Linked DNA regions of Daphnia pulex. Each later gene encodes a partner of the first gene's protein in a complex. Links are inferred from orthologs where the notes say so. Each region holds a gene or a part of one and is shown in the gene's direction. Other genes may lie near its edges. The genes, in order: splicing factor 3B subunit 1-like, splicing factor U2AF 50 kDa subunit-like and splicing factor 45-like.

What was found.
Region 2: the proteins of splicing factor 3B subunit 1-like (region 1) and splicing factor U2AF 50 kDa subunit-like are in contact, whole or in part, in a crystal structure (PDB 7SN6), measured with the Homo sapiens proteins. The link is inferred for Daphnia pulex from reciprocal best matches to the Homo sapiens genes SF3B1 and U2AF2. Residues at the interface, in NP_036565.2 of Homo sapiens: Ser336, Arg337, Trp338, Asp339, Thr341, Pro342, Ala343, Met346; in NP_009210.1 of Homo sapiens: Met383, Glu388, Glu394, Glu397, Ile398, Asp401, Val402, Glu405, Gln447, Gly448, Leu449, Thr450, Gly451, Arg452, Lys453, Phe454, Ala455, Val459.
Region 3: the proteins of splicing factor 3B subunit 1-like (region 1) and splicing factor 45-like are in contact, whole or in part, in a crystal structure (PDB 2PEH), measured with the Homo sapiens proteins. The link is inferred for Daphnia pulex from reciprocal best matches to the Homo sapiens genes SF3B1 and RBM17. Residues at the interface, in NP_036565.2 of Homo sapiens: Arg334, Ser336, Arg337, Trp338, Asp339, Glu340, Thr341, Pro342; in NP_001139019.1 of Homo sapiens: Leu309, Met312, Val313, Asp319, Asp321, Leu322, Glu325, Thr326, Glu329, Leu372, Arg375, Tyr376, Phe377, Gly378, Gly379, Val382.

What each region holds. Positions count from the first base shown.
Region 1 is NC_060027.1:4,651,445-4,655,145, reverse strand, and holds the start of splicing factor 3B subunit 1-like, read left to right. Parts: upstream 1-827; 5' UTR 828-862; coding exon 863-953; intron 954-1,162; coding exon 1,163-1,537; intron 1,538-2,082; coding exon 2,083-2,162; intron 2,163-2,229; coding exon 2,230-2,901; intron 2,902-2,965; coding exon 2,966-3,259; intron 3,260-3,322; coding exon 3,323-3,451; intron 3,452-3,515; coding exon 3,516-3,701. Other genes in the region: GPI inositol-deacylase-like, read right to left, coding at 1-54, 116-256. UniProt on the Homo sapiens protein: Component of the 17S U2 SnRNP complex of the spliceosome, a large ribonucleoprotein complex that removes introns from transcribed pre-mRNAs.
Region 2 is NC_060018.1:5,213,316-5,217,067, reverse strand, and holds the start of splicing factor U2AF 50 kDa subunit-like, read left to right. Parts: upstream 1-1,250; 5' UTR 1,251-1,403; coding exon 1,404-1,431; intron 1,432-1,719; coding exon 1,720-2,019; intron 2,020-2,083; coding exon 2,084-2,346; intron 2,347-2,422; coding exon 2,423-2,645; intron 2,646-2,712; coding exon 2,713-2,786; intron 2,787-3,069; coding exon 3,070-3,192; intron 3,193-3,255; coding exon 3,256-3,414; intron 3,415-3,480; coding exon 3,481-3,752. Other genes in the region: RNA-binding protein 28-like, read right to left, coding at 1-56, 119-567, 628-796, 871-984. UniProt on the Homo sapiens protein: Plays a role in pre-mRNA splicing and 3'-end processing. By recruiting PRPF19 and the PRP19C/Prp19 complex/NTC/Nineteen complex to the RNA polymerase II C-terminal domain (CTD), and thereby pre-mRNA, may couple transcription to splicing.
Region 3 is NC_060018.1:8,645,157-8,648,882, forward strand, and holds splicing factor 45-like, read left to right. Parts: upstream 1-1,133; 5' UTR 1,134-1,334; coding exon 1,335-1,448; intron 1,449-1,512; coding exon 1,513-1,753; intron 1,754-1,828; coding exon 1,829-1,922; intron 1,923-1,999; coding exon 2,000-2,423; intron 2,424-2,497; coding exon 2,498-2,672; intron 2,673-2,740; coding exon 2,741-2,838; 3' UTR 2,839-2,872; exon of another isoform or gene 2,873-2,961; 3' UTR 2,962-3,154; downstream 3,155-3,726. Other genes in the region: cyclin-G-associated kinase-like, read left to right, coding at 1-6, 80-184. UniProt on the Homo sapiens protein: Splice factor that binds to the single-stranded 3'AG at the exon/intron border and promotes its utilization in the second catalytic step. Involved in the regulation of alternative splicing and the utilization of cryptic splice sites.

The sequences.
Region 1 (3,701 bases):
AAATAAGTTGTAATTAGGGAATTCAGTTGATGTTGGTTCATTTAATTTGATTTTCTATAATAACAGAATTTTTAAAAATGGCAATCTTTAATAAGGACAGAAGTAATACTCTTACAATATATTGCGGATATTCAAACATGAAGGTCATTTCGCATTTGTTGTCTTCCAATTCGAAAACAAAACGATGAATCCCTCGAATGAAGGAGAACGTGAGAAGGGAGCCAACTAACAGTTTGAGCAAATTGTTTTTCTTCATTTTCACGTAAAATTTATGTGTCTCCCTTCACGACAATACACTTTTCACCAGTAAATAGTTTAAGCAATATTATACCAAGATAAATATATTTTTTGTAAACTATGAAATTAGCTTAAAACTATGACAACAAAAAGGAAAATATTGTCATTTGACATTTCAAAATACTTACTAAGAATGTCGTCTGCACATCCGAATTGCATTGTTGCCAATATGCTGTAGAAATCATTGAAAAATATTTGACTCGTCGATATTCGATAACAACCATGAGTAATAAGGATTAGGAAATCATAATATAGTATGGAAAAAGGCATTTCATGACTCTTACTCGATAGAAATTGCCTTCAACTATTATTTTTCAAGCGTTTAAAGACTCAACTCAAGAGTCAAGAGTCAAGAGAGGCTGACCGGAGCCGCACGTCCGCACCGGCCATTTTATAAATACAGATTTATTATTCTATAAAAAATATTTAATACAGAAACGGAAAAAAACTTTCGTCTACAAATAGAAACTATAGACACACACAATTTGGTGGAATTCGACGATGAAATGTATAATTTGCATTTCTACGCATTTGAGATTTGATTTGACAGCAGCAACAAATCTTCATGCATGATCTGGCAACAAAGTGCGTTGTAAAGAAGAGTGGAGAAGCTCTAAAAATGGACGCGAATAATAAGGCACCGAATACGTACGACGGTAATATTGTTTTTCTATTTACATCATATTGGCAATTATTTCAAAGATAAGATAATTTACAGCTTTTTTTGCTACCCAAATTTTTATCATTGGATTATTTGGTTAACTTATTTACCTCTAGTTGCACATGTGTATAAGTGTCTCATAACAACTCTGAACATGCCATAATATTAACTGTGTTTAACATGTGGTTTGATATGTCTTTCCAGAAATTGCAGCTCAAGTTCAGGAAATCCAGTCAAGGAGCAAGGTAGATATATCTGAAAAAGATCGCATCGGATTTGGCGAATCAGGCATTTTTGATTCAGAAATCTACGGTGAAGTTCAAAGTCGATTTGATGGATATGTAACTTCAATTGCCACAACTGATGAAGTTGAAGAAGAAGATTATGATGGAGCAGTTGCCACTGGAGGCAGGCAAACTTTCACAGCACCAGCTGCGATTCTCAATGAAGTGGCAGGAGAAGACTTTGACCCATTTGCTGAACATCGCAGACCAACTATTGCTGACAGAGAAGATGAATACAGAGCAAAGCGTCGGAAGTTGATTATTTCCCCAGAACGTGTTGATCCATTTGCTGAAGGTAAATTTAATATTTTTTATTCATTTTAGTATACTTGCTTGTTGTAATGCAAAGTGGAACACATTATTCAATTTAATCTTATTTTAGAATTAAGAACATCTGTGATTGTGAAGTAAACTCTTTTTGTTTATCTATATTCTCATGTCGTGACCCAATGGCAAATTAAAAGAGTGCCATAGCAACCAGTTAAGTTAAGAGCTCTTGGAGGTGAGTAATCTAAGGCTCTCAAAGGGGAATTGTTACAAGAAACTATTAAGGATACTAGAAGCCAATATTAACCTAGAACAAGCTACTTAATTATAGGTGGATTATTCACTTGTGGGCCAGGAGCTGATCTGCTCAAATTCCCCTTCCGTAATCATCACCACGTATGTATTTGTAACTTCTTGTGGGCGAAGAAACTGGTTTAAGAGTTTTTTCTACTTCCGTCGCTCACAGGGAGTTTGGGTCTCGACTGCCAATTTTTTCTTTAAATTTCGATTACAAAATCTTCCTTACTTTGAATAATAACCCATTTTCCTTTTTTATATTGCTATTCTGTGCAGGCGGTAAAACCCCAGACGTTGGATCTCGCACTTACGCTCATATTATTCGTGAACAACAGTTGCGCGCAGAAGAGCAAGAGGTAATGACAATGGATAATTTATGGTGTAGTTGAGATTATACATGTAATCATTTGTATTCATTTCTAGGTCCGCCGGAAGCTTGCCGACAAAGCTAAGGATGGTACCTTAAAAGCTGTAACGGTACCATCAAACGGCGAATCAAATGAAGCGCCACGGAAACGTGCAGCCCGTTGGGATCAAACAGGTGAAGGTGACACAGGTCCTGCTGCCACTCCAGTTGCAGCACCAACTGTTCCTACGGTAAAGAAGAAAACCTGGGAAGTGGAAACGCCAGCAGTAGCTCGTTGGGATGAAACTCCTTCTCGCTCCAAAGGCTCTGAAACCCCGGCAGCTGGAGGTGTTACCCCTGGAAGTCGTCTGTGGGATGCTACGCCGGGAAATGACGACTCCCGCAAACGGAATCGCTGGGACGAAACACCGAAAACTGAAAGAGCCGGCGAATTTACTCCTGGTTTTGGTTCTGGTTGGGCTGAGACACCACGGACAGATCGTGGAGGAGACACAATCCAGGAGACACCAACTCCTTCGGCATCGAAACGTCGCAGCCGTTGGGATGAAACACCAGCTAATTCCAGTGCGACACCGTCTGGTGGAATGACTCCGCAAACTCCTTCACTATCTGGAGCTATGACTCCAAGAATGACACCGGGTGGAGCTACTCCAATCGGACAAAAAGCTATGGCCATGGCTACCCCAACTCCAGGACACCTTGTTACCATGACTCCTGAACAACTACAAGTAATCAGTGCATTATCCGTTTTGATGTTCAATATGTAACCCACAATGAAATTTATCGAAATAGGCATACCGATGGGAAAGAGAAATCGACGAAAGAAACCGCCCAATTGGAGATGATGAACTAGACGGGATGTTTCCAGAAGGCTACAAGGTCCTGCCTCCTCCAGCTGGATACATTCCTCTACGTACCCCGGCGCGCAAATTAACTGCAACTCCCACTCCATTAGCTGGGGCCAATTCGGGATTCTACATGCAACAAGAAGATAAAACTGCCTCAAAATACATGGACACACAACCCAAAGGCGGTAACTTGCCCTTTTTGAAGCCAGAAGATGCCCAATATTTTGACAAGCTATTGGTAATTATACTTAACTATTTCTTTTAAGTAAAATTAAAAAGTTTTTACTCTATTATTTTGCAGATTGATGTTGATGAAGATTCATTGAGCCCAGAAGAGCTTAAAGAACGAAAAATCATGACTCTTTTACTTAAAATCAAGAACGGTACCCCACCTATGCGTAAATCTGCATTAAGACAAATCACTGATAAGGTAAACTGATATATATTATTTTAAAGTAATTGTATCTTCAAACTGCGTTTATGTTTTTCAATAGGCTAGAGAATTCGGAGCTGGTCCACTTTTCAATCAGATCCTTCCTTTATTGATGTCTCCTACCCTTGAAGACCAAGAGCGACATTTGCTCGTTAAAGTTATCGATCGCATTCTCTACAAATTGGATGATCTAGTGCGTCCATACGTCCACAAAATCCTTGTCGTTATTGAACCGCTGCTAATCGAC
Region 2 (3,752 bases), on another chromosome or scaffold:
AACTGTAAATATGGATTTCGAGACTCTTCTAAACACTTTTGAGCCGATTCCGAATCCTAAAAATGGTTAATATGAAAAGTTATTAGTATGTATTTATTTTTGCAATAATGCAACTTACTCTAAATTTTACGAATCCAGTGCCCTTGGGTCTCTCCATAATTTTATCCATACACAACAATGCATAGTGAACACTGCCAAATTTTTCCATGAAATTTTTCAACGAGTCTTTTGTGGTTGAAAAGTCCAAATTTCTGATAAAAAGAGTCTTTCCTTCTGCTACATCACTCTTCTTTTCTATTTCAGAATTATCACCCTTCCAAGCTTCTTCTTTTTTTGGACTTTCTTCTTCACCGGAACCATTCTCAACTTCAGAATCAGAAGCTTCTCCATCTTGTTCTTCTTCATCATTATCTTCTTCTTCATCATTACTTTCTTCATCATCAGATTCTTCATCTTTTCTGTCATTTTTCTTCTCTGGCGGCTCAATGTTTGGAACTTCGTCAGTTTTATTATTTAAAGTGGCATACTGTTGTTTTGGTATGGCCCAATCAATAGCTATTTGCCTTCCTACAAAAAAAAAACAATTGATAAGCTATTATCAAATTTAAAATGTTAAAATTTTCTTACCAAGAAATGGTTTTGCATTGCATTCTTTGATTGCTGTAGCCGCACATGGAACTGTTTTAAATTGAACAAAACCACAGCCAACTAAAGTGCCACCAGGTTTCTTTAATAATTTCACATCCTCAATTTCTCCATATTTCTCAAACCAGTTTTTAACAGCTTCTTCTGTTGCCTGTTAATAAATTAAATCAAGTACTAACTTACTAACATACTAAAAGTAGCATAAATTAAAGTTTCTTGGCTTACTTTGAAAGATAAATTGCGAATAATTATTCTTCCTCTTTTATTGGGTGGTCTCTTCTTTGATGTGTTTGCTTTAGTAACAATAGAAGCTTCTTTTTTAACTGAAGAGTGATTCATCTTTTAAATCTATCCAAACACGTGCTTGTCTGTATAACTGATGTAGCTAGTCAAGCAGACGATTATATGTGTCAAAATGTAGCATAGACTGTTGTCAATTGGCAAAATGACAACTAATGAGGATTAACATGAATACAACAATTACTCAGAAAATAAATTTTATGTGGCTATTATTTTATGAAATATTTAATCTTACCTTTCAGTATATTAATCAAAACCAAGTTTGAAATTGTAAACATTAAATCGACGTTGCCGGTACAAGGAGTCAATCGAACCTCGTCTCCGACGCCATTCGCCCATTCCCAGCCTTTAATCAAACCGGCTTACAGTCTTAGTGAAAATTTGGACAATAATTAACTGTTTTCCTCTGCTGTGTTTCTTCTTATTGTCGTACAAAAGCTAACAATCACACGTTAATCATGGGAGAAGATAAAGATGATCGTAAAGGTATGTTTTAACTTCTCTAAACTACTTCTGTCAATATCAACTATAATGCTTTTGTAATGTTCTTAAGAGTCTGTGATGCTTAAGAAAGAAATGTTTAACACACATTACTTACAAGTAATGGGTGTTTAATGATCTGGTTGTATTTTACACATAATTTCATAACTTTTAATGGTTTATAATGTTGGCTCGTGGTTTTGCTTTTGTATGGAAATATTAGTCATAGTAGTTAGAAGGTAGTCAAGCAAGTAAACTTACTTGTTTGATTTATTAACATTTGAAATACTTTAGTTGACAGGGAGAGAGATCGTGACCGTTCCAGAGATAAGGAAAAGGACAAGGAAAGAGACAAGGATAGGGAAAGAGATAGAGACAGGGATCGTAGACGGTCCAGGTCTCGTGACAGAAAGAGAAGGTCTAAATCTAAGGAAAAGGAGAAGGAGAAGAAGCGTAGCAAGTCCCGTGAACGTGAACGCAAAAGGAGTCGTTCTCCTGTTAAAAAGCAACGCCGAAGAAAGCCGTCTATTTACTGGGATATTCCTCCTATTGGTTTCGAACACATCACACCCATGCAATACAAAGCAATGCAAGGTATAAATCCTTATTCAAGTTTCAATTTTAATGTGCTAATTATTATTTTCTTGAATCTACGTAGCTGCCGGACAAATTCCAGCTAACATAATGACGGAAGTAGCCCCACAAGTCCAAGTACCAGTAGTGGGTAACACAATCACTCGTCAAGCCAGGAGACTCTATGTTGGGAATATTCCTTTTGGAGTTTCTGATGTACGCGCAGCGGAGGAGGAAATGATGGATTTCTTCAATCAACAGATGCATTTGTCTGGTCTGTCTCAAGCTCCAGGTCATCCCATTTTAGCTTGTCAAATTAATCTGGATAAGAATTTTGCATTCTTGGAGGTTTGTTGGATTGTTTTCACGTGAAACCTAGTATTTTAGTGGAATATTTAAATAATTTTGCTCTTTTACTTTTCAGTTTCGGTCAATTGATGAAACTTCCCAGGCCATGGCTTTTGACGGTATTAACTTTAAAGGTCAAACTCTAAAAATCCGCAGACCCCATGATTATCATCCAACACCTGGTGGTGGCGGCGGAGGAGGAGGAGGTGGTGGTCCCGAAACAACGCCCGGCATGAGTTCTGGTGGTATAACTGAAAAGAGGGCTGGAGGTGGAGGTGGTGGAGGAGGAGGAGGCACAAGTAAGGACGACTTAAAGTGATTCTTTTATGGCAAATTTCTTTAATGTATTCATTGTTTTTTGCTCAGTGAGCACGATCGTCCCGGATACACCCCACAAATTGTTCATCGGTGGACTTCCAAATTACTTAAACGAAGAACAAGTAAGTTACCTGTTTCGTCGATGTGACTGTAAAATGTGTTTTCGATTGGGAGAAGAAAAAAGAGTGAGAGAAATGGGATTTGTGAGCGTCTAGTTGAAGCAAAATCGATTCTGATGAATGTCTTCTTCTTTCGTTCTCCCTAAACAGTGGTCACGTGATCCTTAAAACTTCCTACCCATTCCAACCACACAACCTCGATCCATCTCCCCACCGTCGATCCCTAGATTGTTATTTTTGAAGGTCGACTCTAGGCACGCACGCAAATTGTCTCATTCGAATTTAGGTAAAGGAATTGCTGATGTCTTTTGGACAACTTCGAGCCTTTAACTTAGTTAAAGATACGGCTACTGGCTTATCCAAGGGATACGCTTTCTGCGAGTATGCCGACGTCACCGTCACCGATCAAGTAAAGTAGACCATGATAATATTCCTTGAAAAACCATTACATCTAATTTTATTTTTCTTTCAGGCTATTTCCGGATTGAACGGTATGCAGTTGGGAGACAAAAAGATCATCATCCAGCGAGCCAGTGTTGGAGCCAAAAACGCCGCTGCTTACGCCCAGATGCCAGTCCAGATTCAAGTACCAGGATTCAATCTTGCTGCCGGTCCTGGCCAACCGACAGAGGTACAAAAATCAACCTTGTCTAATGCGACAATTTTTAATTTCATTTTGGTCTTTTCTTTTGCGTAGGTTCTATGTCTGCTGAACATGGTGACACCCGAGGAATTGAGGGACGACGAGGAATATGAGGAAATTGTGGACGATATTCGTGAGGAATGCAATCGTCATGGAGCCGTACGTTCAGTCGAAATTCCCAGGCCGTTGGAGGGTGTCGATGATGTACCGGGAGTTGGCAAGGTCTTCGTCGAGTTTATTTCGGTGAGCGACTGCGTTAAAGCCCAGCAGGCGCTGACAGGTCGCAAGTTCGCCAATCGTATCGTCGTTACGTCATTTTACGAACC
Region 3 (3,726 bases), on another chromosome or scaffold:
AAACAGGTTGGTAAAATTTATCACGTCATTTACATTTAGTAAGAAAAGTTGCCTTTAATTCGAATGTATTATCACACAGTCTGGAACTGACAACGAGAAAATAGCAAAAATGATTTTTATGGAACTGAACGACGCCTGGTCTGAATTTGAAAACGACGTAACACAGCAAAATATGTTTCGATAACAGATACATTCCTCCATTCTTCATAGTTTACGAGCGTTGATTGTTCTATTTACGTGTTTATAATTGTCTAGCATTGGGTTAACTCATACGAAACGCCCATGATCTAGTCGTAACTCGGAATCGATGTCTCTCCCTACCGTCCCAAGATTTCCTTTCAAATTCAGCTACAATAGCTTACATCACGTTTTTAGAACTTTTCCTCAGCCGCTTTTCTTCTTTCTTTTCCTTCTCCGTGATTTTAATTGTTCTCTTTCTGTTTCTTCTACGGAGAAGTCGTCTCGTTTTCTCTAACGAAGGCGGTAATCTCCGCCCGGCTTAAGTTTAATAGCTACCGGTTTTCAAGAAGTAATACACGTGTCTGCATCATTATTAATGATTCTTAAAAGAAGCGTTAAAGATTCGGTTAAATTCAGTTAATTTAAAAATAGTATTAAAATAATTATTGTTCGGTGCTACAGAAAGTTCAGATGCAAGATGTAGCCACGTTGAGTTTTATTGCAGAAAAACAGTGACTTCTCACAAACCAATTGTTGGAATTTGCGATATAAATAACTTTATTCTTTCTCGTCACTGATTCTTCGTCACAGACACCTCTTATAACAAGTCCGTCCGCTCGATAATATAGATACGCATACAATTAACGGCACACAACTGTGGCGACATTTGGAGGTGTCGTAACTCGTAAAAGGGCCGACCCAAAAATATTCCTGTCCCAAAACAATCAAAAATCAACGATATGCGCAAGGAGGCAATTTTTTGGGAGAAGCTCCGTATTTTCTATTCCGTATCCGAAAAGCAAGGTGTTTAATTGACAAAAAAACAATTCAATTATTTATAAGTAGAAACAGGGTAGTATCGCTGTATCTGTAGTGCCTGGCCACCCCTGGCCACCCCTGGGCCCTGGCCCTGCTGGGCCCTGGCATGCCCCTGCCCCCTGGTTCCTCACTGCAGATTTAGGTAGCTGTTTAGTAGTCACCTTCACCTTTCATGAGATGAATACATCAAAACATAAAAAAATACAGTACAATTTGCATTCGTCGTCTATTTTTATTTCTTGTGTATGTTACTGCGAAGGCGTCCTGAGCTCTGTTTAAAAACGATTTGAACGACAACTAATTCAACGGATATAAGAAATTACTTTGCTGTGAAAATGTCTCTTTACGATGATATCGACGAAAATAAAGCTAAATCTGTCACCGGATGGTCGTCAGGAATCAAGCTTTTACATTCGCAGATGCACTTAAAGAAAGCTATGATTACACAGGTATCCTACAATTTACATTTCATTTGTTACTCATAGATTATGAAGAAAGATTTGTTTTTCCTAGCCAAAACGTGAAGGTATCCGAAGAGCTATCCATCCTGTAATACCACCCTGCCTCACAGCTACTGAATCACAGATAAAAACTGAACCTGAAATGACCAAAAATCTGATTCATCAGACACCCCAACTCTTGACAACTATTGTTCCTAAACAAGAGAGATCCTCACTCTTTGCTGAATTGGAATGGGACCCAAATCTAGAGTATGATCCACTGCATCCTACTGACTATGACAAAATCATTAGGGGTACACAGCACCTTTTATAGAAAATGAAAAATCTGAATACAATAATTTTTGTTTTTTTTTTTGTTTTTTGTTTAGAGAGAAAGGAACGACGAGGGATTGAAATTGAAATAGAAGAAGCTGAAAAGAAAAGGAAGCCTAGGGATGATCGAGATATTAAAACCAGAGACAGGTATATAATGGGACTGGGAGCTGCCTAATAAATATGGTGATGATAGAAACTGATTACATAACCATTTCATGTTTTAGGTCCTCATCTGCTGTAGGATCAGGTTTTGCTGGACGTTTACATGATGAGGAAGAGGAACCAATGGTGAAGAAGTCCTCTACTTCTGGTGGAGTTGCCATTGCCCCACCTCCATCATTACAAGACAACTCATCGCCATCTCATCCTTCTCTCTCCTCTACTGGAAGTGGGGTTGGAGCTCTTGGTGTTGCTGCTAAGATCATGGCAAAATATGGATTCAAAGAAGGTCAGGGACTTGGACGACAACAGCAAGGTATTGCAGCTGCCTTACAAGTGGAAAAAACAAGCAAGCGAGGTGGACGTATTATCAATGAAAAAGAAATTATGCCTCCTCCGCCACCTGTTGTGTCGCCAACAGCTGCTCCCAAAGCGGAATTAACGATTGCTGATATCATGAAGAATCCTTCAAAAGTGATTTATCTGAGGGTAATGTCATAGGTCAATCATTTTCACGGTCCTCATTTCAAATTCTGTTGTTTGTTTGTTTCCCCTTTCATTAGAATATGGTTGGCCCTGGTGAAGTGGATTCTGATTTGGAACCCGAAGTACGCGAGGAATGTCAGACAAAATACGGGGATGTGAATAAAGTTGTTATTTTCGAGGTACCTAACGCCGAGGAAGAGGAAGCTGTACGGATTTTTGTTGAATTTAAACGAATGGAAGCTGCCATCAAAGGTAATTAACTACAGTTGAACAATAACACAGGTCTGTTAAAAATTGTTAACTGTCGTTTCTTTTTGTAGCCGTAATTGATCTCAACGGCCGATTCTTTGCTGGTCGGCAGGTGAAAGCCGGATTCTATGATGTGGAAAGATTTCTCAAGATGGAGCTGAATGATTGAACACGTATTGAAAAATAAATTTTACGAATCGAAAGTAATTGAATTTAATTACATGGTATGGCGTTGTTCCCAAAAGTTGGAAGCATTTGACCTTTAGGACGAAAAACCTTTCTCTCGTTCTAGGAAATAAGATTGATTCCTTAAAAGGGATGAAGAGAGATGAATTTAAACTACTACGAAGCAAAACAAATTCTAACTTCACAAGCTAGCGTGTCCTCGCAATATCACACCAGAACAAATAATTGAATTGCACAAAAATGTGTTGATCAAGCAAGGTTCTACATTCAAAGTGTAAAATAGATTTACTTTACTTTGATTTTCACGACTACATTCATTTTTCATCAAAAGGTAGATTCTACTTTTTAAAATTTGAGTTGTCAAGCGTAGCTGCAAATCAGTAATAGACTTCTAGTGGATGCTTAGAATTTAGTAATAAAAAAAGTATAGATTTGAATTCGGAAACTTGGCGGTAGGTTTCCATATATATATCCCGTTTCCAAATCATAAAAAATTTCATGAAAATTGGTTCTTTTCTTAAGTGTTTTTTAAGTGACATTCAGTAGGTTAAACCACTTTCATATAAAAATGAGGTTAATATTTTATAGGGGACGATCTATCGACGTTAACGTATTTTTTAAATAGTATAATCCGGTTTCCAAGAACCATGAGTATATGTAGTTCTTCGAAATAGCTACGCAAAGTGGGAACCTCTTCTTGCCTCAAAATTCCTATGATATCATAATGTTGAAAGAATTCTTCGTGAATCGTTCATGTCTCAACATGATCGAGAACAAGGTCAGCTGTCATTGCCATTATTATTGACCTCATATTTTGACATTTAATATAGCTCAAATGCTCAATAACGTACGTGCTTATAAAGCATAGCAT